2 linked regions of the Schizosaccharomyces pombe genome follow. Each later gene encodes a partner of the first gene's protein in a complex. Each region holds a gene or a part of one and is shown on either strand. Other genes may lie near its edges. The genes, in order: nup37 and nup120. A codon is read from its position in the direction of its gene.

Region 1 (11,088 bases):
TAGGTATAATCAAATATGTAGTTTCCATCAAACTCGTTATAAAATTGATACCAAAAAAGTATAAATGTCCAAATAACATTTTTGTAAAAAAAGAATGAAATCATTTGAGACATTCTTTTATAGTCCCATCGTCCATGAACTAGAAGTAGTCGCCCTAGGAAAGAAAATTGACCGATGGCATAATCCGCCGACATTGAAGCTGCTTGCCCTTCAACGCCTTTTATCCCTACTCCAACGTCGGCTTCTTGAATCATCGAAACATCATTAGCGCCATCTCCAATTGCTAAAGTGACAACATTTAGACTCTTCTTGACTAAAGCAACAACAGCTGCCTTCTGAGAGGGACTAACCCTGCAGCACAAAACTGTCTTACACTGCTTACATAACATTAAAAAAAGAAAAGAGACCTGTTCAGACAAAACAAAGTTCAGGGCATCCCCATCAATAACTATGGCGTGTTTCGGAGATGGCGGACTGTGGTCTTTCAACAAAAATCTGAATTCTTCATCCGTTCCCATGTATCCAAAATTAAAGCATAATGTGTTTCTAATAAAAGCTTCTACTTCTTCTAAGGCACCGAAAGAGTTTGCATCAATTCGAAAAATAGTCATGTTTGGATCAAGAAGATTGCATGAATACCCAATGTTGATTGCCGTTTCTACCTTATCACCAGTCAACACCCACAACTTAATTCCAGCAATAGCCAAAAGAGCGATAGTTTCTGGTACATTCTCTTGAAGTTTATCTTCAATTGCTGTTCCACCGAGTAATTCAAGCTCTTGCTCAATCATCTCTGAAACTTTACTGACCTTTTCGTTCCGTTCATGAATGGCACTATTAGCTTCGTTGAAATTCACTTTCCATTCAAGATAATCTTGCTTATCAATAGTTCGACGAGCGATACATAACGTACGAAATCCTTCGGATGAAAATGAAGCTAAATGCTTCTTCGTCTTTTCAATGATATTGTTTTGTCCGCTGGAAAGCCTTGGAAATATTACCGTATCCGCACCTTTACAAATTAAATGAATTATACCATCCTCATCACGAATTATCACGCTCATACGCTTTCTCGTAGAAGTAAAAGGGATTATATCCAAAACTCGAAAATTCTTATTTTCACCCCTAATGCGAATAGTATAGCGTCTGTTTTTTGTATTTAGAAGCGTAAACCCGAAATCACGAGCAACTTTCACTAATGCTTCTTCGTCTGGAGACTGAGCATTGTAAATAAGTGTTTCGTCTTGGACGTCTGTTACCACAGAATGGCAAAGAGCGAGTGCTTTAAAAAATTCGAAGCAGGCTTCAGTTTGAATATAATTTTCGTTGGATTGCAGATGGTCGACGAATTTACTTGAAATGAAAGTGATTGATTCTGGGTTAGGTGAGTCGCTTAAACTTAATGTCTCAAGCATTTTCTTTTTATCCAAGTCAACCTTGCATGATAAGTTTTCATTGTAATTTAAATTCCTTCGTTTTTTGATGCATGTATCTTCATTGTGACTTTTGCCATAGCGAATACCGTTAATTGAACATTTTTTAAAACTCATTATATTCTGAGTAAGAGTTCCGGTTTTGTCTGAAAATATGTACTCTATTTGTCCAAGGTCATCGGATATGTTCCACGATTTCGGAGAACAAGGACAGTCTAGTTTTTCATCATACATCTCTCGATCACTAAAAATAAAATAGGACTGTATGCTTCTAACAATGTCCATAGTGATATATAGAGAAATCGGCACTAAATTTTGAAAAAGAATGAGGGAAGTGAAAATGCTGATGATGCCATGCGCAGGAGCGGTGTTTGAATTTTTTGATAGCTCAAACACCCTTGCAGAGTTGTTCTGAGCTGAATAGATAGAGCGTAACACACCAGAAAATAAACACATAGCAAACAATAATAGAAAATTGAGAATTATTGTCCAATTCAAGTCACGAGTAATGCGACTTCGTTTAGAAGGAGTTAACCCTCGATTTTTCTGTATGCGAGTTTCTGATCCTGTATATAAAACAAGACCAATAACCCATTTTGAATTTCTCAGAGTACACCCACACAGTAGAACGTTAGAAATACTAAAAGGTTCTTCATGTATTTTTCTTCCGTTTGTACTCTCAGACGGTGATTGCACAGCGCCGGGTGCTTTGACGACACCGTTCAAACTGTACAGATCAGCATGAGGCTGTTCACATTCAACCCAAAAAGATGCCGCACTACACCTATACTCTGATTTACAGCATTTTGTTGAGCATAATGCGTATTTATCTTTCAAATTAGTTTCACCATCAAGGTTTTTTGTTTCCACATAGCAAACACCGTTTGAGTTTTCTGTGCTTAAGATGAGCAAGTCAGCAGGAATCGCTTCATCAGCCAAAACCTTAACGATATCGCCCACAAGCAAACTTTTCCTACACACACGCTCAAATTTGGCATTCGATGAGCCTGTTGATTGTTCCTGGATGACAGAAAAGCTGTTGGAAGGACCACTGTTACCAATCTCATGAATCTCAAGACTATCTTGTGAAACAGATGATAAAGTAAAGGCAGAGTCGGATTCGAGACTGTGCCTGTGGGATATATTATCCACGGTTAAGGTAGCGAGCCCAGATGAGATACCGGAATTTTTAAGGCAATAGGACATATCGGCGACGGTATGAGAAATAAATTTTTTTAATTTTCTCCATAATCCAATATGCTCGCCTAATGCATTGGCATTATTGAACCCTACCAATTTCCAAGTTAAGGTATTATTAAACTTCTTATCAAGAACACATCTCCGATAATCCTCAATTCCATCCTTAATAGCTGTAGTAAGCAAAATAACACTCAAAGGAATAAACGATAAGCCCAGGTGCTCGGGACAAAACAACGGAATACATTGAAGAAGAGTGACAAACAAAAAAAAAGCATTTGCTATGTTTTTAAATTGATTCCAAAGATTTTTGGGGATAAACGAAACTGGAGTATACTTGGTTGTGCGAATTTTATTACTAGGAAACCATTGCGATGGTAAATGCCTGTGTTCTTCTGGAATGCTAGTTACGTAAATTCTGCGAACAGAAGCATCTCCACTTTCGGTCCCAGCTTCATTCTTCTTTGATGTAACACGGCTAGTCCATGACTGATCTGAGTTGTTACACGAACCTTCAAAAGAGTTAGCTTCCTCATCATCCCTCGAACGTTGTTCCGCATGTGCTTCTTGTGAAAACTGGCTTTCGTGATGACGAGAAGAATAATCAGTTTGGTTTGTAGGTCCCTCATGAGCTAATGAGCCATTGTGCTGAGGTACATGGTGTAGATGATTAAAAGCACATATGGATAAGCCATGCAAAGAGGATTTCAATGAACTAATAGCATCAAAATTGATTAGGCTAGGCATCAAAGGGATCTACAATTCCTCAAATTCTTCCCAATCAGTTGCAGAATTACGAACGACTGCAACGTTCGACGATACCAATGACACAACTGGGAAATAAACAGAATTGATATCGCTTACGTACAGAATTAGTTCAATTAAGCTCAAAATTCGGCGTAGAGAAAGTCCTTTGAGGAGGCAAAATGGGTATGGCAAGATGATGTGTATTGATGTAATCCTTAAGTGCTGGGGTGTACTATATATACAGTGCAAAGGGTATGGGTAAAGTAAATAAACGATTTCTCAATAACAACAAATAAAGCATATTTATTGTTGTTTAATTTTTTTCGTCTTGAAAAAGAAAACAGAATTGGAAAATTGCTAAGGCACCATAAACAGATAAAGTATAACGTTTTAGTTCATACCCACTAGCGTTGGTAACTAAAACTTACACAAATTTTATATTTTTTGCTTTATTTTTTTTATCTTCATATTGTTAACATGGCGTTTCGTGCTGCAAGAATTGCTTTCGCTTGGAAGGCAACCAATCCTGCTAATACAACAATTCGTCAATATATAAAAGAAACACTGGAAGAAGCACCTGAGAAAATCAGTCAAACTGTCAAAAAAGCAACTGGTAAGGCTTCGAAAAAGATAGATGAAAACAAAGATAAGTCACCACAGGAAATGGCTGAGAATGCAAAGCAATCGGTAAAGCAAACTGCCAAGGATGCAAAAGATACCGACTATCAGCAAAAGGCGAAAGATGCTGGTAAGAAAATAAAAGAGGAATTTAGCCAACGGTCGGAAAACGTACTCGAAGAAACTCGTCGTGAGGGGATGAATCGTGATGGTGGTGTTAAAAAGGAATAAAGAGGATTCCTTGTAAATGAATCGAGTTAATGTATTGAGTGGAAGCTTGTATACAAGCTCCTTGATGCTCTTTATGATTTTAAAGATGCTTCACGTTTGAAAACATCGCTTTCTTTTTGGATTTATATGAACGAACAATGCATGATTTACAAAACGAAGCTAGAAGATTGTTAATAAACTAAAAATCATAGTTCAACGGTTCCTGGCTTTTATTTACAAAATAAATTCAATTTTTGATGATAGCAAAAAAAAAAAATTTCATGATTTAAATAAGAATGAGATTATCGCGAGATGTGTTAATTATATTCCGGTTGTATAGTCTGGTATTCGTGGCAGTGATACTGCATATTTTGCATTGCCGATGCTAGCCTTAGTATGGACTTGACTGTATGTAAAAACTTTATGGCCCACATGCTGTCAACAGCTACTATGGTCAAATTTAAATTTTGTTATTCTATAGGCCGGATAGTTGTATAAAGGCATTGTAATGGATAATGGTAATAATACTCATTTTGGTCAAACACATTCATGCCATTCTACTCCAGTAAATTCAATGCCGCTCGTTGTAAGCATAGCGATAAATCCCAAAGGCTGTTCAAAGCAATAATTTCAAATTTGTATTGCAACTTGCCAACATTTTTAAAGTAAATAAATTCCGTTATTGTACAGTGACATTCTCATGTTATATACGCTCTACAGTCAATAACATAATATCATTCACCAACATGATAGTACTCGATTGTATTATATTTTACTAGTCTTGAAGCAAGAATAGCCATAGCCCTTGGGTTTTTGAAGTTGCCAAGATTTCGGCTCAGAATGAAATGCCCAAGCTAAGATTTCCGAAGGTTTTTTCAAATTTTCAATATTTACTGCATTTACTCCCTCCACAAAATCTGGTTTATACGAGAAGATGTGACTGCTAAAATGATCATTATGCTATAAAAAACCCCATTTGTCGTTTACAATGCTTTACATTCGTTTTTATCCACACTATTCACAAGCCTGTGTCACGGTTTATGTAATTGGCTTGGGGAACGTGTTGGAAAGAATAAAACCGCTGTATACTTCATACGGAACGCAATTATTACTTTTCGTTCTGCAATAAATCAGTGGAATATCGTGTTGGTTTTTTTACATATAGTTTTATTTTGATGTATTTAGTAAACACTCTATTTGTTAATTGAATATAAGTTAAATTATTAAAAGATATTTAGTATAAGTACAAATTTTAGTAATTGCATTAAAATGGTTATATTTATCGTGTTTCATTATCTAAACTGCTTTGTATAGGTTTTCGTTTGATTTTTTGTAAATTAATGGTGGTAGTTTTGGCTCCGTAAGGTAGAACGTTTTCTTCAGCTTCATCCAATTCACGTAACCCACTAGTTACCTGCAACACCATATCACTAGAAAACGTGGCCGAAACTTCTCTTTTTCCATTTGTATATATAAATGCATTTTTAATTTCTTTATCTTTTTATTGTCTGCACAATAAAGCGTTCATTCTTTCCGTTTTTTTTGAAAACTATTTTTCGTCATGACTCTTTCCTCTAACCAGTATCAGTACGTTCAGCGTTATTTCGTTTATGTCTCTTTCTAACTTCTGTTTATTAGATTGCCTCTTAATGTCCGCCCGTATACAACGACTTGGTGTTCCCAGTCTCCTTCCTGTTCAAATCTTCTTGCCATAGGTATGTAAGATATCTGAATGTTACGACGAATGGTAATTTACGTATTACTCATTTCTTCTTTTCTGTTTTCCTAAGTTACAATATTTGAGAAAACCTCAGTGCTAATGAAACAATTATCTTCAAATAGCATTCCTCTAAACGTTTTAAACTAATGATTAACCTTATACAGGCCATGATACGGGTATCACTATTTATTGTGCTTCAGAAGAACAGACGCCCGGATCTACAGGTTTGACATTACAAGAGTTGTTCACTATTCAAACTGGGTTACCCACTTTGCATCTTTCTTTTTCATCTAGCTGTAGTTATTCTGAGAATTTGCATGATGGCGATGGAAATGTGAATTCCTCACCTGTGTATTCTTTGTTTCTTGCATGTGTGTGTCAGGATAATACAGTTCGTCTAATAATTACAAAGAATGAAACCATTATTACTCAACATGTGTTGGGCGGAAAATCTGGGCATCATAATTTTGTGAATGATATCGATATTGCAGACGTCTATTCCGCTGATAATCGTCTCGCTGAGCAGGTGATAGCATCTGTGGGCGACGATTGTACGTTGATTATATGGAGACTGACTGATGAAGGGCCTATTTTAGCTGGATACCCATTGTCTTCCCCTGGTATTAGTGTCCAATTTCGCCCATCTAATCCTAATCAATTGATTGTTGGAGAAAGGAATGGTAATATTAGGATTTTTGACTGGACTTTGAATTTATCAGCTGAAGAAAATTCTCAAACCGAGTTGGTTAAAAATCCATGGCTTTTGACTTTGAATACCCTGCCACTCGTTAACACCTGTCATAGTAGCGGCATTGCTTCCTCTTTAGCTAACGTTCGATGGATCGGAAGTGATGGAAGCGGTATACTTGCAATGTGTAAAAGTGGGGCTTGGCTTCGTTGGAATCTTTTTGCTAATAACGATTACAATGAAATCTCGGATTCCACTATGAAATTGGGACCCAAAAATCTACTGCCCAACGTGCAAGGCATTTCATTGTTCCCATCCTTGCTTGGTGCTTGCCCACATCCCCGTTACATGGATTACTTTGCTACGGCACATTCTCAGCACGGCTTAATACAGCTCATTAATACATATGAAAAGGACTCGAATTCAATTCCTATTCAATTAGGTATGCCCATCGTTGACTTTTGCTGGCACCAAGATGGATCACATCTTGCTATAGCTACGGAAGGATCTGTTTTGCTTACCAGATTGATGGGGTTTACGAGATTATGAGGGTATAGAACAATATACTTAACATCGAACTAAAATAAACGGGTTCAGGAGAGGAAATTGTATTGAATAAATATTAATGTTCATAGTTAAACCAAAAAGTAGTATTTGCTATGTATTAACATCGTGTAAACGCTGTTACTTTTAAAAATTTTAAATGGATGTGTTGCTTTCGTAAACAATTCGCCTTGGTTCAAATATCGCCTTTGATATTTCAACTTCCAATAACCGATATGCGATTTGAATTGAATCTTCTAAATGTTCGTTACAATGATAAAACCCATTATTTTTGAGCATAATATTTTTCCAGAATCATGGATGCCAGTTTTTCGAAAGATGGATTGTGTAGCCGCTGTTGCTGAATAGCATCTAAGGTTTTCAGAGGAACAGAACCCTCTTCCTCACGGTCAAGGTTCACTAATTCTTTCATTATATGTAAAAGCTCGGCATTACTTTCAATTAAATTTTTTATGCTAGGATCTTCGACAATAGATTCCAAAAGACTTTCACTTGGCAATGCCTCTTCTGCTAAACTTGGGATTCTTCCATTAACGTAGATAACATTAGGAGAAGGTTCTGGGGGGTTTAAAGGTTCTTTAACTCCTTTGAATGTTGTTGTGTTATTGTCATTTACAGTCTCACATTGACTTTGGTGGATTTTCCAGCAAGGTAATGAACAACTATTAATTCTATATTAGTATTTTTAGGAAACAGAAAAAAAGAATAAAGCATTGGTTCATGGGTTAATGTGTATTGAAACAAAATGCATTGTTCTGAGCTTACAAGCACATACTAAGGAAATGAACACTTCGGGCATTTATATTTTATTTCTGATTCGTTGCATATTGAACAAGTTGTCATGATAGCGTTTAAATTTTTCTAATGTATTAGAGGAGAAACCTTTTTTTTTAGACAAGCTCAAACAAAATAAGATTAAAGGGAGAAGAGCAATAGAGTAACGTCAAACCTTGCTAGTTCAAAATACAGTTAACACTGAATAAAAAGGCTCTGGTTTTTCCCTCTTTTGTGATATGTTCGAAAGCTATGGTAAACAGTAAAATAATATTTTTTTGAATATTCTCAATATAAACTATCTCTGCATCTCTAGCGAGTACATTTTTTTAGATTAGCATGGTGGATTTACTTATCGTTACCCCTCACTATATAAAGCTTTTTAATGATTTTCTGGTTACGAATTTTAGTGACTTAGTCGTAAATAGTTTAAGCTTTTTAAAAAAAGTACTTATTTAAAGGAAATAAATTATGAATCTTTCTTTGGGAAGGATCAAAGCGCTGTTGTAAAGTATCCTCAGTTTCCAATTTTTTGTTTATAGCCCTCCCTAACGATCTTAAATGATAAGCAACGTGTTTGAATCACAACCTTTCATTTTTTAATATAAAAGGAAGTATCTGATAAAATCTTTAAGGATATGCTTGTATAATGCTGAGACGTTCTTAGAGTCATTATTCAAAAATATCTACTTAATTGCGTATATTAAAGTTAGCAGATGAAACATCGAATCATGTATTTAAAATGCTAATTGATTTACAGCTCTATTTTCCAGAATTTTTTTCTAAAAAGGAAAATAGTAAATCATTAGTTTATCTAATTAGCTAAATTGTTGACGTTCATGTCAATGGGTAGGCAACATAGCTTAAGTTGATCAAGAGCAAATGTTTTTGAGCAAGGTAATATCATTGCTTTATTAGAAGCTTAAAAATGGTTTAGCGTAACAAATCGACACAGAAAACTAAAATAGATAATAAAAAGATTTTAAGCAGGGTTTTTCGATGAAGGTATATTTGGTCTCAATTCACAATTTTTATTTCAATTGATTGACTGTTATTACTTAACAGATAACGAAAATTCAAGTTAAACATACGCAATTATAAAAATAGGTTAGCCTTTTTTTTTCTATGCACTTTAAATCCGTTAATTAATTAATTGTTGTAGCCAGAGCTCATAAGATTTGTAAATAAATGAAATCTATTCGAAATCGCAATCATTTAGTCTTATTATTCATAACAATGCAAAGCACGCTAAGTCGCTAGAATAAACAAGTCATACAGAACAGAAAACATCCAACTAGTACAATTCTCTGCACGAAATCATTATAGGCGGTTTTAAAAAAAAAATAATAAAAATCATAAAATTCATTATATTCCCTGCCATATGCTAGTCTTTCGGTTATTGAACCGTTTACTAACGTATAAGTCTACTAGACTTTTCTAACGTTAGGGATACGTGCTCCACTGACGTATGAATTAGCAATATGGAAAACCATGCACATATATATAATACACAACTGATAATACATATCTGCCTACCACATACCACCAAATTTAAAGGTTTTTGTTTGTTACGTTATTAGAACCATGTCTAGTGTTGAATCATTTGTACGTATCCGTTTGGCTAGAATCAGAGATTAACCACAATGTCGCTGAATTTTGGTAAAATGTTCTTTTACAGGGTACTAACATTTCTGTATAGGTTGACTCTGCCGTTGCTGACAACGATGTTGTTGTTTTTGCCAAGTCTTACTGGTACGTTTGCTTAGTAAAGTAATCGTTGCATAAGGGCGTGTATTTGTCACACTGGCTTACCATAGTTTGAACGCTTGTATTTTTGTTTTAACAAATTACACTTCCATATGCCTAGAACCGACTACTTAATTTTTTTTGTTAAGCAGTGATATTAACTCTTAATTTTAGCCCTTACTGCCATGCTACTGAAAAGGTGATCGCTGATAAGAAAATTAAGGCTCAGGTATACCAGATTGACCTTATGAACAACGGTGATGAGATTCAATGTAAGTTTTTATTGCATCTGTTGTTTTGCTTGATGCTAGTTTAGATCTGTCTATAATATAATAGACCTTGAGTCTGTATAAAATGGATGGTATAAAAAAAAGCATACTAACCTCCTTGATTAGCTTACTTATTGAAGAAGACCGGTCAACGTACCGTACCCAATATCTTTATTCACCAAAAGCATGTTGGTGGTAACTCGGATTTCCAAGCATTATTCAAGAAGGGCGAGCTCGACTCTCTTTTTAATACTGCCTAATGAAATTCTATGAGCAATAAATTTTTTTCTTTAAATTACATATCTCAAACTGAAGAAACCTGTATTATAAAGCTCTTAAATCTAAATCTGTGGTATTTTAAAGCTAATGATAGAACTTAGATGCAGCTGTTTTTCCTAGCTACTAACTACAACATAGCACATAAATTTTGCTTTTATTTTGAGTAATAAATCACTCGAGAAATACTGCTCTTTTCGATTACTTTATTAAGTAACTCATCTGTGCACAATTTGTACTAGCTGATTTAAATTTTTGAAAATTTAATTATTGAACTGGTAAAACAAAATCAAGGAATATTAATGCCATTTTTATCCTTTATCATTAGACCTCTGTAAATTCGAAGAGTTTCTGAACCTATTCTTGAAAATTGGGTTTTATAAATTTCTGGGTACATTAGTCAGAGTTCCCAACTCCAATCTTCAATTCCTGTAGTAGCAAACTAAAAAATAGCTATTTTCCTTACTCACTACTGAATTGAATTGATTTCCTTTTTGTTTTAAATACAGAAATTCCACTATTAGACGGGATAAATGCTTAATAGGTTGATTGTCTGAAAATATATTTGTTGAATCAAAAATTTTCAGTTTTGCCAAACAATGGTAGCAATAGAAAATAAAGAGGTCCTTTTTGGAGGTTCTCTAAAAAGCACAGAAGAATATGATCAGTTTTTCTGTCCTAGTATTGACATTCCTAAATTTTTGTTCAAATATTGGGATTCAAAGCCGCTAGGGAAAAATGTCAGCAGTGATCAATTCGCTGAGACTGCAATACAGATGTTGGAATATTTTATTCAGAATAATTATACTGGACCATATCTTCCCATTAAGCCTGAAATATGGCTTC
Region 2 (13,041 bases), on another chromosome or scaffold:
AATGCTTTTGAGTAATCTTTAGAAGGAAATATCAAAATTCTTTAACCAGTTTGGGTGAAAGCTATAGTATTAAAGAGTAAAAATTTTATTTATAAATGTAAGTAAAAATAGGTACTATGTTGTGATAGCAAATCACTAAACAATAAACCCAAACCACACAAAAACATTGGATTCAAGTCCCCTCGGTAAAAATATAATAATGTACCCATAGCCCAAAAAATGCAATGAAACTTTTTACGATCTGTCTTTGACTATTAGTTTGCAGAAAAAAGCATCTGCACAGAAAGACTTCTGGTTCCCCTGAAAAGACTGAAAAAATCCAATAATACCACAAAGGACTTTCCAGACAAACATTGAGAGTTTAAAAATAAAAAAAAACCCCGAATTGGTCATTAAAATAATATAGGTGAAACGACGTATTCGTATGCTCCTTGCTATCATCTTTGACTAGCTCCTCTAGTCGTCTCCCTTAACAACACCAACCTTGGCAGGACGAATAACTCTTCCATTCAATTGAAAACCCTTGCTTTCGCAATGGAAGACAGTGTTGGGCTTTTTACCTTCAACAGGGATTTGGAAAACAGCTTCATGGATGTTAGGATCAAAATCTTCTCCGATACCGTCATAGCGAACTAAACCATATTTTCCTAAGGTTTTCATTAAGTTCGATTCAGTCATTGCTAAACCTTCATAAAGATCAACTAAATCCTTGTTGGACTCACGATTGTTACGCTTCTCCTCTGGAACAATTGAAAGAGCACGCTCCAAATTATCGACAGAATCCAAAAGATCCTTAGTAAGCTTTTGAACAGCAAATGCACGTGTTTGCTCCATGTCTCTCTTCATGCGGTTTTCCAAATTACGATAGTCAGCTAAGCTTTGGCGAATGCTACCCTTTAACTCCGCAACCTCTTTGTCCTTTGCTTCATATTTACTTTTAAGCTCAGAAAGCTTAGATTGAAGTTCCTTAACATCAACATTCTCTGTTTCGGCAACTTTTTCTTCAGCAGGCTTTTCTTCCTTAGCAGCCTCAGTTGAGTACCAAAGGAAACTGCGTTTATTAATGGGTGCTCGAATAAGCGTCCGAGGACGTACAGCGGATGAAAATACTCTTCCAAGCCCAAGCATTGTTTCAGTGAGAGCTTTGTGGTAAAAGACAACTGTGTCACACTATAGACAAATGGTGTTGTGAACTTAGCACTGTTAAATTTTACAAATATCAATTTCATCAACTTAAAAATTCGTTATGTTTCGTTAAATGAGGTATGGACTTTGAGATGGAAGCTGATTCAAAAAATATATAAATGACACTTTTTTCTCAAATTAAAGCTTCTATTTCGATATGTAACAAATTGATTGTAGGTTTGAACATGCATGTAGGAAAGCAACCCAAATTTCGAATTTGCTCAACACTGGAAGCCAACAACGGCTCATATGCTTATCAATTATTAATTTATTCTTTTCAGCTTCATTCTCAACAGATAATAATTAACTGATTTCTCATCTATATTTATATCCTTCTTGGTATGCTTTACGGCATTGGATTATATCGAAGTACTTACTTCGCAGCCTTTGAAAGTAAAATAATTGAATATTATAATTTAAGTTTTAAAATAATCCTATTTGTGTCATCTGGGCCATCTTATTATTTTTACATTCATCAGTTTATTTGCATAATGATATTTGTTGAACAATTTATGGGAGTCGAATTTTCACAAATTCCTATTATAATAATATCATATTCTTAATTACAGAAGTCTTCATAATAAAAGGTACCTTAGTTAAGTGTCAGATATGTCTTATCGGTATTGGACCTTACACTTTCATCCACCATCACTACTTAAACTCAGGAATACATTTGAGGATTGTAGAGGCAGAGCCATAGCTTTCTGTTAAATATTTATCTAAGCTTTGTGAAAATTTACGATTCAACCACTGAACACTTTTAATCGCCTACTAGTCCAGAAGTTGCGCTTTCAAGTAGCACCATACTCTCCTATTTTCCTGCTTGGACGTTTACCTAGATTTTCTAAATACTTATCTCTCTAAATCATGTCTTCACAATCATATCGAGAACGGACACTTGTTTCTGTAATTGGAGACGATGATACCGTTACTGGGATGCTTTTAGCTGGAACTGGTCAGGTAAATGAAAACGGTGACAAAAACTTTTTTATAATTACTCAGAGTAAGATTATCTGTTAAAAAATGGAATCGTGTTTTCGCTAACTTGCTGTTTTATGTAGAGACTACAGATGAGCAGATTGCTGAAGCTTTTGATGATTATACTACGAAAAGGAAGGATATTGCGATTGTATTGATTAACCAGTTTGCCGCTGAAAGAATACGTGATCGTATTGAAAACCATGTGCAGGCATTCCCTGCTGTATTGGAAATTCCTAGCAAAGACGATCCTTATGATCCTGAAAAGGACAGTATCCTCCGTCGTGTTAGAAAGATCATTGGAGAATAGACTATTAATATTTAATTATATTTTTTGAGCAATAATTTCAATTAGTCAACAACTCGATCGATTTGACTGATGACACTTTTATATTTGTATCTTTTGGTTTACTTACTGGCATACTAGCAAAAAATTGTAAGCAGAGTTTTTGTTAAACTATATTTGATAAATAGAAAAGTGATTATAAGAGAAATGTATTATTTTAAGTATAAATCTCATTCAACATCAAAACTGACATTACAACCACAAGAAGTCTTGGCACGTGGATTGTTTAAAAGTTGAAAAGAGGAACCAATAAGTTCATTTGTATACTCAATTTCAGAGCCACTTATCAAAGGTAATGAAATGTTGTCAGCAACAACCCTGGCTTTTCCACGCACAAATACCCTAGATATTTAGTCAATAACCAGGAAATACTTAATTAAAACTTATAGTCTTCTTAACCACATCACTTACGTGTCAGCATTTCCAATTTTGTTGTCCATGCGAAAAGATACTTGATATCCATGGCATCCACCACCATCGACAGTGACGCGCAAAACAGAGTTTTCTTCTGGTTTCCTTTCTGCAATTTTTTCTAACTGTTTTTTCGCTGAATCTTTCACGTATAAAATAAAAGGGATTCCCTTCTCGTCACATTGCTCTTGAAGCGTGAATTGGTCGTTCGCAAGCTTTGAGCTATAAAATCGATTTTTGATTTTGAATTCATTATTTATTTTGGGAAATATTTCTTTCGTTAATGTATTCGATTTCGCATCAATTCTACATGATCGAGAATTTCTAAGCGATCCATGCGATAGCTGTCGAATTGCGATCACAGGATTTAAGAGTGTTTGAAAACAACGTTCTCGAAAGAAAAATGGTCCTTTAAACAATAAGTTTACTCGCGATTTCATAAGCATCACTGCAAAGTATTATAGCCACAAGTTAGGACTTTCTAACTTGTAAACATACAGTAACGTAATAGAAGTCAAATTGCCTACGCTCTGTTTCGTTAATTCAGTATATTCCAAATTGGTGCTTATGTTTATGAGATAGAGAAGTTAAGTACATAAATGAAATAGTCATAACTTGACGAGTGTGTCATAGACTAAAGTCAAATTCAGGGATTTACCTATTAGTTAACACCCAATCTCTAAGAGATTTATATCGGATAGATTGAATTCGAACTTACAAAACTCTCACACCCATAGCTAGTAGAGAATAAGGGGAATTTATCAAATATATCTAGAATTATTTAATGTTCTTTTTTACTTATGTTGTATGCTACTAAATTTTGTGATGATTTATAGTCAAAATTAATATCTTTGGATTATTTTTACCTTTTGGTACTCCTACTCCTTTAATTCTCTTTCAGTTTTAAATGAATAGATTTTTAGCTATTAGAGATAATTTCAACCCATTTGGTTAATTCTTCTTCTGGATATTTATTGTCGATCCTTTAATTCTAGCATAGACCGGTGGATCACATCCAGAAAATGTCTTTATCACAATTGATGCCATTGCTACAATCTTCTACTTTAGCTAATTCTTTATCGTGATACCAGTGTATGTACTACCGCTTAATTACTATAAAGTTGCGGGTGTTCGTACAAGCACATATCACCGCAATTGTAATATTGAATCAGGTATAAGAGATCTTGGCTATTAGACTTAGAATTGGTTGTATCTGCAATAAAAAAAATAAATTATAAATTGCATGCCAATGAACAATAATTCACCCTTGCACGTAATTAATATTTATTAAAATGTAATTTACAATTTAACGTATGGTTGAAAATATTACATGTTTTATTTACTAAGAATTTGCAAAATTTAAAAATAAACAAAACTAGAAAATTAGAAAACTATTTTATTAAAAAAGATTGAAAGGCTGTAAATTAAGACCCTAAAGATGAGTACTGTTAATTTAAATAGATTTAATCTCTTAAAACAACAGCTAAAAAGTTACAGGTATACAAAAAATAATAAAAAAAACTAACAATAATCTAAGAAAGGCTTCTGATATCTTGAAGATCTTTTACTGTTGTATGTAATTTCACAAATAAAATAGAGAATCCATTTAAGCTCTTGAGTTTTAAATGAATATTTGATTCCTTTTTTATTATTATGAATACAAAGGAATTGCTCGATTAATAAAAACTATCAAATTGTTTAGCTTTCTTCATCCACAATCAAATGATTCTATTTTATTAAGGAACTTAATCTTCAAGAAGAAAATTCAGTTTTACATTCCATCTCCCTCTACCCTAAAAAGCTAAAGAATTACAAATATACTCGTATTTACGCGTTTCTCATAAATTCGTTGTAGGACTGGCCTGTCTTACGCTAACTCGTGTAGGTCGTTGTCTACGATACTCAACCAGAACTGCCCCCTATTGTTAGCTATTTGTTTGGTATTTCTACTGGTATTACCGCTACCAGTAAAAAATAAAATCAAAATATGAATGAATTAAAGCATGCGGTAGTTCCGATAGACTTACAATCTTTTTGTCTGGAAGGAACTTTGGCGTTGTGGGTTCCAGCTCTCGAAAACGACTCGGAAGACGATTCTGAAGCTATAGAAACAGCTGATGATAATGAAAAACTTTTTAAAAAGGAATGTGTAGCATATGATGCAGGTGTTTATACCTCAAATAAAAGCAAAGGTTCACAAACTTTACGATGGAGTATATTCCAAAACAGAACACTCACTATCTTTGATGTTTCATTAAATTCTAAGAAGGAGCCTTTATCAAAATTTAATGTGAAAATTCATTTTCCATCCAACGTAATGAAGGACGGTGTAGCTTTCTCGTTCAGTGAGCATTCCGACACGACCATTATATATGCTATTACTCACGCTCGCGTTTTGTATTATATTAGATTATCTAAAACTTGGTTCCAATTACCGGACGCTCGCTTAGACGACGATTGGTGTCTTTGTTACCGACCAATATCCTTTCTGAATCAAAAACCCGATTTAATGGCCGCAATTAGCACGTCTGAAATTTGTGTAAGCTTTTTCAATGGAGGTTTAACAAAGATTATATTAAATCCAAAAGACGCTAGTCACTACGAACAGCATATTGATGATTCTAGTTATTTGTTTTCCCTAAAAAAATATCTATCACTTCAGGCATTTAAGGCAGATTACCGCTCTCCTAATACTATTATTTCAATGATTTTTTTGTCTACCTATAATGTTCTTGTGATGCTATCGCTTGACTATAAGTTAAAAGTTTTGGATTTGTCTACTAATCAATGCGTCGAAACCATTGAACTGTCACAGACTATACTTCCTCTACAATCCTTTCCTTATTTAACTTCAGATCACACCACTAATTCTTTCATCGCTCTGTATTACCCAGATAATTCTCATGGCTCTTTTTCAATTTACAAACTTAACGCAAACGCCCACTCTTTTAAATTAAATGTTGTCATCGAGAAGGGCATAATTCCTCCTTCTTTACCAGACGATGAGTTCATACCATGGATGCTTTCTGATTTTCAACTGATATCGTCAGAGGGCTCTCAATCTAAATTTTTGCTCATTATTGCTTGGAAAAGCAACTTAAATACCGTTATCCAAAAATGCAACCTTAGTCTAGATCAGGACGAGAGTTTTTCATGCGTTTGGAGTCACTCTTTGGATAGCTTTTCCCTCATAGAAAAAACCTTTTTTGACGTTCCAACAAACATGTCGTCTGGGGATATCTCAGAGATTTGGCTACAACACATTTTTGCACATAATACATCTATTGAGTCTATACAAGTTGCTCTTTTAAGCTTTCAAAACAGCTCCTCGCAAGTTTCAAAAAATAAACTGGATAAATTTGGCGCACTTACTATAAGTGAACTTAAAAATGCCGTTTTGTCGTCTATAGTTTCAACGATCCAAATAGAGCCAAATTCAGATTTAACTGGATACGATTATTATGAATATAAGCGGCTATTATATAATGAATGGGAAAGGTTTGCGAAACTTGTTGCATATCTGGATCATTTTGGAGATGAAATATTAAGTATTAACTTCGATCCTTCGAACGCTGTTACATATATCAATTATGCAAATAAAGTGGCTTTTATTAGGGATCCTTATCTCATTGAATCCTTTGACGAAGAGCCGTTGACCAAATTAATTAGTTCCCTTGAAACAGATGATCCTTCTCTAATTGAAGGTTATCAAATTCTGGATCTTGGTAGGAGTTTACATTCCTGTATGTCATTTTCTACTTTATCTGAAATTAGATACTCATTACGAGAACTAGTCCAGGATTTGCCATCTTATTCTTTATTTGATACATTGTGGGTATTTTATGACAAGCACATATATCCCAACGTCGATCCAGATTATATCAGTACTTTAATTGATACTCTAGTTTCTCTTGAAAACCCGATGCGCGACATTGATTCTCTTATCCAACGCTTAAGAAGTTTCGATATTTACAACCATTCCGCTCAATCCCCTTCCTTATTTTTGTGTGCATCGGTAGCACGGGTTTTGGACAGTATTTTGAAAAAGTTTCAAGTCTCTATTGAAGGATTTATTTTTCTACTTTCTTTGATAACTAGCCAGCAGGATTATGAGTTACAATCCAAATTTGCAGGATGTGATAAATTATTTCTTTCTTTACTAGAAGATTGGCGTCTTGTGAGTTTTCTTTTAGAGAATTCTGCACTTTTGCTAGAAAAATTTGAGGAGGAGGATGTTGATTCAACAAACTGTAATTTAAATACTATGGAAGCTTTAGCAAGTGTTAACACAGCCCTTCAGTTTTTTTCCGCTTTGAATTATTCCGAATGTTTCTCAGAAAGCCAAATTTCACCTTTACATGCTACCGTGATATCGTCTTTGTCGGCAATCTTTATAAGGGACGATACGGAAAATGATCTGGTCACTGAACTTGTAGAAAAGTTGTTTCTATTCAAACAATATAATGCATGTATGCAATTAATAGGGTGGCTTAACTCTGACCCAATTGCAGTCTACTTGAAAGCACTTATTTATCTCAAATCGAAAGAAGCTGTTAAGGCTGTCCGATGTTTCAAGACTACTTCTCTAGTCCTTTACTCACATACTTCTCAATTCGCAGTTTTACGGGAGTTTCAAGAAATTGCTGAAAAATACCACCATCAGAACCTATTATCGTGTTATTACCTTCATCTATCAAAAAAGCTGTTCGAGGAGAGTGCATATATAGATGCATTAGAATTTTCTTTATTAGCAGATGCCTCGAAAGAGACTGACGACGAAGATTTGTCTATTGCAATTACCCATGAGACTTTAAAAACCGCTTGTGCAGCAGGAAAGTTTGACGCTGCTCACGTTGCATTGATGGTTTTATCCACTACGCCTTTGAAAAAGTCATGTTTACTAGACTTTGTAAATCAATTAACGAAACAAGGTAAAATAAATCAGCTTCTAAATTATTCAATGCCAACGTTAAGACAGGACGTCGACAATTTGCTTGAGCGAAAGGCCTTTCAAATGATTAACGTTGAATCACAACCATGCTGGTATAATATTTTGTTTAGTTGGCGGTATAAACATCAAAACTATCGAGACGCAGCAGCAATTATTTATGAAAAACTGAGCCGGTATATCTCTACTACAGAATTAATTGGAAAAAAGGAGAGAACTTTTATAATAGAACATTATTTGATTGTTTTGAACACTCTGGAGTTGCTTCCGAAAGAAGATACATGGATTCTTGTGACAGACATGTCCGTGGACAAGGAACCTGACCCTAACTTTCTTCCACAAAAATTACTTACTCTAGATGCAATTGTAGCAGAATATCACTTACAGTTGAAGGATGTCGCTGTTCAAGTTACAGCTGAAATGTCATCGGCCATGAATATCGATTTATAAAGGCAACAAAGAATTATTTACGCAGCTTAACCTTCTCATTTAGAAAAATCCAGAAAAAAAGCAATATGCTTGGCAGAGTTTTAGTAATTAAATCATCTTTAGTTTCATTGAGGCGATGGGTAGCCATAAATAACTAACTTCTTTCTATAAAATTAAATTCTGAATATAAATATACTTTCGATAGCATTGGTATTTACATATCTTTAACGAATTATAATTCCGACCTTTTTGCTGCAGCTTGCCGCAGTTTGCTAATTAGTGTTGTCCGTTGGGAAATATTGTTGAGATACGGCTAGTATCGGCAGAATGTTGGAACCAACAATAATTATATATTTGAATTTTTATTTCCTTATTTTATAACATTTTTTTGAAACTTTTGGTTTCAGATTAAATAATTCTCTATTAATAATAGTGTACGGAAATTGCACGCCGTGTGCCCGAATTTAAATTTGTCGGGTCCCGAAGGAATGTACAAAACACCAAGACCTGCGAAAACTGATTCTCAGTGAATTGGGTATATCGGTCTTGTAAAGATCTAATTAATGAACGTTTACCAATGTTATTGAACTGAAAATATCGTTATGAGGATTTTTACTCTTGGAAAAGGCCGAATTTCACGAGGGTATGCTCGGCAAGTTAACCCTTCATTATTTGCCAAGTACAGCTACTGTATTGCCAATAATCCTTGGTATTTCATTCTTGTGTTTACTCTTTTATCAATCACAGGTATATATTCGTCGTTGGTAGCGTATCAGCAATCCCTTTACGATCAATCATTAGCTAGATGGTCGGCTTGGTATGCCGAGAGCATCAATGCTGAAGCAAATGTTATTACGAAACAACTCTATCTTTTAGGAACGAACACATCAGTGTTTTCCGAAGACTATCTTTCAAACGCGTATCGTTGGGAAACAAGCTTCCATCAATATTTGGCGGAATACGGGTATCCTTGCATAAGAGATGAAAAATCCTGTGTAACTATTTCTCCAATACCAAAATATTATGGTAAGGTTGATCCTGTAGCTCAATATTCATATACTAAAGGGCTTCCTGAAAATGAGCGTGAAGTGAACAAGCTTAGGAATGATACAATAGCCGAAGGTTTTGACTCGCTTAGTGCTTTTGTGATTACTTACTTTTTAAAGCCTGAACAAGTCGATACTTTTCATGTTGTTTTAAAGAAATTTATTTCCGAAACTCCTAATCTATATGCAAGTTTACTTGATACATCCCCTACCACTGTCGTAGCACGTATTCCTGACCTTACTGTTATTTACAGATGGTACCTATGGGTTGGGTTTGGAGTCGGACTTTTTGCATATTTGTATTTGTCACTTGTGCGGTTGCATGATATTCGTGCTAAATTTGGTCTTACAGCGACTATATTTATTCAAAGCGGTACTGCCTACTTCTCTACCTGTTCTTTGCTGTATTTCTTTGAAAGAACGGGCCCCATATGTCCATGGCCTATGGCTTACTATATTATCATATTTATGGACATTGAAAACTCGTAAGTTTTTTTGCTATACTTCGTCATTATGTGAACGTTTTATTACTAACTTATCAGATTTCGACTTTTACGCGCAGTAATCGCTTCTCCTCAGACGAAGCGTGTTCCTTCTCGTATAATGGAAGGGTTTTCTAGTACTATTATTGCCTCCTTTTCATCCTTACTTAAGAAGTTATTGACTCTTTTTGTCTTGAGCTTCTTTGTTTATCCTCTGGTGCAGGAGTTTTGTTTGTTTCTTGCCTGTTCTTTCGTCGTTAGTTTTTTACTGCATGGAAGTTTTTTTCTAGCGGTCCTAAGTGTCGATATACGTCGTTTGGAGTTGCAAGATTTTTTAGATTCAAACTCTTCTAATCGAAACTCAAAATGGTGGGTTCCGTATCTAGAATACGTAAGATTCATGTGGTCTCCATGGATTATCGATAATCTTGGTACTGTTTCATTTCATATGTACGTTATTTATTTACAACTCCAATCCAGTACAGATATCAATGGGTCTTGGAGATTAGCATCTCCTAACATTCGCTTTCTCATTACGTTATATCATCGTTTAGGCCGTATTTTACGAGAACGAAAGTTATTTCCACTGATTACGACCGGTTGGTTTGGTGACCCCACTTTTTTAGAAGCATTAAAAGAGAAGACGATGGCGGAAAACCTTGTTATTGCTTTGTATCGACCAGTTATTCTTGACACTGTTAACCGTCGTGATTACACTAATGTCTACAACTCGTTTCATGACCGGAGAGTATGGAGATGGTCAACATTTTTCAGCATACTGTTCGCAATTGATTTTGCGGTTGGGTTGCTTGTTAAAGCACTTTTGCGAGGCTGGTCTGACCATGACGAGCTTTCAACCGATACAACATTACATGAGGAAAAATTCAGAATAGAACCCGTTCCTGTTCATCATCAGCTTGACATTTTAAAAATTGCTGTATCTGAAAACTATAAGACGTTTGCCTCCGTCGGGTTAGATAGGTGTCTTGTAGTTTGGGATTTACGTCAATGGTGTACAAAGCTTGTACTTTCAAAAGAACAAATGCCCAGGACGTTAAAAGCAATAGCTTTAGATCCTCAGGGAAACTACGTTTCGTTGTTCTCAAAGGATACTTTATTCATTCTGAATGTAGAATCTCCTTGCTTGATGCTTCAACATTCCTATCACTGTAAGCCAAATAGCAAATTAAACGTGTTCTGGATGCCGGGTACGCATAAAGATGATGAATGGAAAAACTTTGAGCTAGTGGTTGTTGAAAGCTCAGGCGAAATTCAGGTTTTTAGTCTGACTATTGAAATTGAAGGTGCAGATATAGCTTTGGTTGAAAAGTTTCAATTAAGTTCTCCGATTATTAAATCAATAAGTATCGTTTCACCCACGGCTAATAGAATTGCTTGTTTGACTGAATCCGGTGAAGTGACTGTATATTCTAAAAAAGGACCCGTCTGGTCCCCAAAGATTTTATCTCAAAACAAAAATTATCTAACAGAAACAAAAAAAGATATTTATGGAATTGCAATGGCGGACATTTTGTTTCTTGCTCGAGATAGTGGTGTCGACATGATTGACCTTAAAAACGATGAACTATTACATTCCTTTACACTGCCGCCGATAAAAGTAAACACTTTTTCAGTTGGCGTGAGTAACAGTCGATTTGTTAATGGACAGTTTAGAGTGTCATCAATATCGTTTTGTTTTACTCACGCTGTTACCGAAAAGGTTCTTTATTATTACTACGGTAATGAATGTAATGAGTCTTATATTATATTGAATAAATGGGATCAACAGCCAAATCTTGTGGACGTACACGATCCTGATAATTCGCTGGCTTGCTTGACCTTTGATGAACTACAAGAAAATATCCATGAAGTCGAAGATGCTAGTGAATGTGTAATGAGCTCAGATGGACTCTACATATTTGGCATGCGAAGAAAAAGTTCATCGGGGATTTGTCCAACAGCAGATGAGAAAAACGAAGATAATGGTTTTACTCTTCGTAACCGAAAGTTGCGAACTGGCCATTACAATTGGACGTCTTATGTACCCCTTCTAGATTCTTATATGCAAGACATGGAACACAAAAAAAATACGCATAGTGGTGGTGAAACCCAGGTATGGGAAGTTTGGATGTACTCTCAATCTGAAAAGAAGCACCGCTGCAAATCTTTAAAGATGTATAATTCTTTAATTATTGCAGACCCTGGACCTTCTCTTGCAGTCTCTGATAGATGCGTAGCCATTGTTCTAGGTAATTACGTTGCACTAGTCGGCTATGGAAGTGAAATCTTTCGTGATTTTTACCAAATCAGAAATTCCGATGAGATGGACAGAATTTTACGTCGCAAAAGAAAAAATTTACAGAGAAAAAGATCGGGGACCATCGGATGTTAAAATTAGTACTTCTTGTTTATTAGCCCTATGTTGATGTGCATATATATATGTATATATAGCTGCGATACCGTTTGCTAGCATGTCATGGTTGTCGGGATTGTTATAAGACCACTTTAGGGCTTATCATTCGTTCTTGAATAAGAAATATGTGCTTCCATTGTGTTTTAACTATTTAATATCTACCCAATTATTTTGTTAGCATTTGCAAGCCGGCCTTGCTAATGTCACGAGACACTTAACGTTTGTGGGAAGTTGCTGATTCTGTTAGTATTTTTAATAATTTATGAAATGTTTTTTTTTTCGTTCATAACTATTCTAACATGTGGATTAAAATTAAAGATGTTGTTTATAATTATTTTTTTTTTTATATTGTAAATTAGGAAGACAACAACACTAATTTTAATGTTCAGAAGTTTATGGTTTGTATCCATGAGGTTCATGCAACTAAACTAGGATGGATTTACTAAAAAATTTGTATTTGTTTTGTTTATAGTAGATTTTTCTTAATAAACTAATCCCAATGTTAAAGACAATTAGCCAAAATTCGTTTTGAATTTCTGGAACGCGTACCCACTTCTTAAAAGTTATCTTCCGCCTATTTTACCTCAACCTGTTTAATAACCACCTTAACGACTATTGTATGCTGCATACATACAGTTTATAATTAATTGTAACTAAAAATACCATGTCGTTTATAAGCAGATCAACAACGACCTTTCGGAGGAGCATATCTATGAAAGACTATGCGAGGGTTCGGTGGTACAGTAACAGCGGCAAATCGTTGATCGAAAATATTCTTTCATCCAAAATTGCAATCTCAAAAG

Evidence for each region.
Region 2: the proteins of nup37 (region 1) and nup120 are in contact, whole or in part, in a crystal structure (PDB 4GQ2), measured with the Schizosaccharomyces pombe proteins. Residues at the interface, in NP_594761.1 of Schizosaccharomyces pombe: Arg15 (codon at 5,860), Tyr17 (codon at 5,866), Leu71 (codon at 6,197), Gln107 (codon at 6,305), Lys130 (codon at 6,374), His134 (codon at 6,386), Phe136 (codon at 6,392), Asn138 (codon at 6,398), Asp162 (codon at 6,470), Asp163 (codon at 6,473), Cys164 (codon at 6,476), Thr165 (codon at 6,479), Pro182 (codon at 6,530), Leu183 (codon at 6,533), Ser184 (codon at 6,536), Gln199 (codon at 6,581), Arg205 (codon at 6,599), Asn206 (codon at 6,602), Asn208 (codon at 6,608), Arg210 (codon at 6,614), Asn231 (codon at 6,677), Pro232 (codon at 6,680), Trp233 (codon at 6,683), Leu234 (codon at 6,686), Leu235 (codon at 6,689), Thr236 (codon at 6,692), Asn238 (codon at 6,698), Leu240 (codon at 6,704), Pro241 (codon at 6,707), Leu242 (codon at 6,710); in NP_596674.1 of Schizosaccharomyces pombe: Val409 (codon at 6,132), Pro410 (codon at 6,135), Thr411 (codon at 6,138), Asn412 (codon at 6,141), Met413 (codon at 6,144), Ser414 (codon at 6,147), Ser415 (codon at 6,150), Gly416 (codon at 6,153), Asp417 (codon at 6,156), Ser419 (codon at 6,162), Glu420 (codon at 6,165), Asn468 (codon at 6,309), Leu471 (codon at 6,318), Ser472 (codon at 6,321), Val475 (codon at 6,330), Ser476 (codon at 6,333), Ile478 (codon at 6,339), Gln479 (codon at 6,342), Ile480 (codon at 6,345), Glu481 (codon at 6,348), Pro482 (codon at 6,351), Leu486 (codon at 6,363), Thr487 (codon at 6,366), Gly488 (codon at 6,369), Tyr489 (codon at 6,372), Tyr491 (codon at 6,378), Tyr494 (codon at 6,387), Lys495 (codon at 6,390), Tyr597 (codon at 6,696), Glu601 (codon at 6,708).

What each region holds. Positions count from the first base shown.
Region 1 is NC_003424.3:4,864,734-4,875,821, forward strand, and holds nup37 (nucleoporin), read left to right. Parts: upstream 1-5,610; 5' UTR 5,611-5,766; coding exon 5,767-5,792; exon of another isoform or gene 5,793-5,843; coding exon 5,844-5,920; exon of another isoform or gene 5,921-5,993; intron 5,994-6,089; coding exon 6,090-7,162; 3' UTR 7,163-7,293; downstream 7,294-11,088. Other genes in the region: SPOM_SPAC4F10.16C (P-type ATPase), read right to left, coding at 1-3,377; SPOM_SPAC4F10.17 (uncharacterized protein), read left to right, coding at 3,855-4,226; hit1 (HIT zinc finger domain-containing protein), read right to left, coding at 7,443-7,839, 7,953-8,020; glutaredoxin Grx1, read left to right, coding at 9,536-9,556, 9,651-9,703, 9,872-9,969, 10,093-10,226; ceo5 (TTC27 family TPR repeat-containing protein), read left to right, coding at 10,842-11,088.
Region 2 is NC_003423.3:4,010,634-4,023,674, reverse strand, and holds nup120 (nucleoporin, WD repeat Nup120), read left to right. Parts: upstream 1-4,824; 5' UTR 4,825-4,907; coding exon 4,908-8,318; 3' UTR 8,319-8,449; downstream 8,450-13,041. Other genes in the region: GrpE domain-containing chaperone mge1, read right to left, coding at 457-1,128; vma7 (V-type ATPase V1 subunit F), read left to right, coding at 2,053-2,188, 2,247-2,473; Fe-sulfur protein Isa2, read right to left, coding at 2,680-2,851, 2,921-3,366; Sre1 cleavage-activating protein Scap Scp1, read left to right, coding at 8,900-9,828, 9,886-12,217; mrpl3 (mitochondrial 54S ribosomal protein mL44), read left to right, coding at 12,903-13,041. UniProt on the Schizosaccharomyces pombe protein: Functions as a component of the nuclear pore complex (NPC).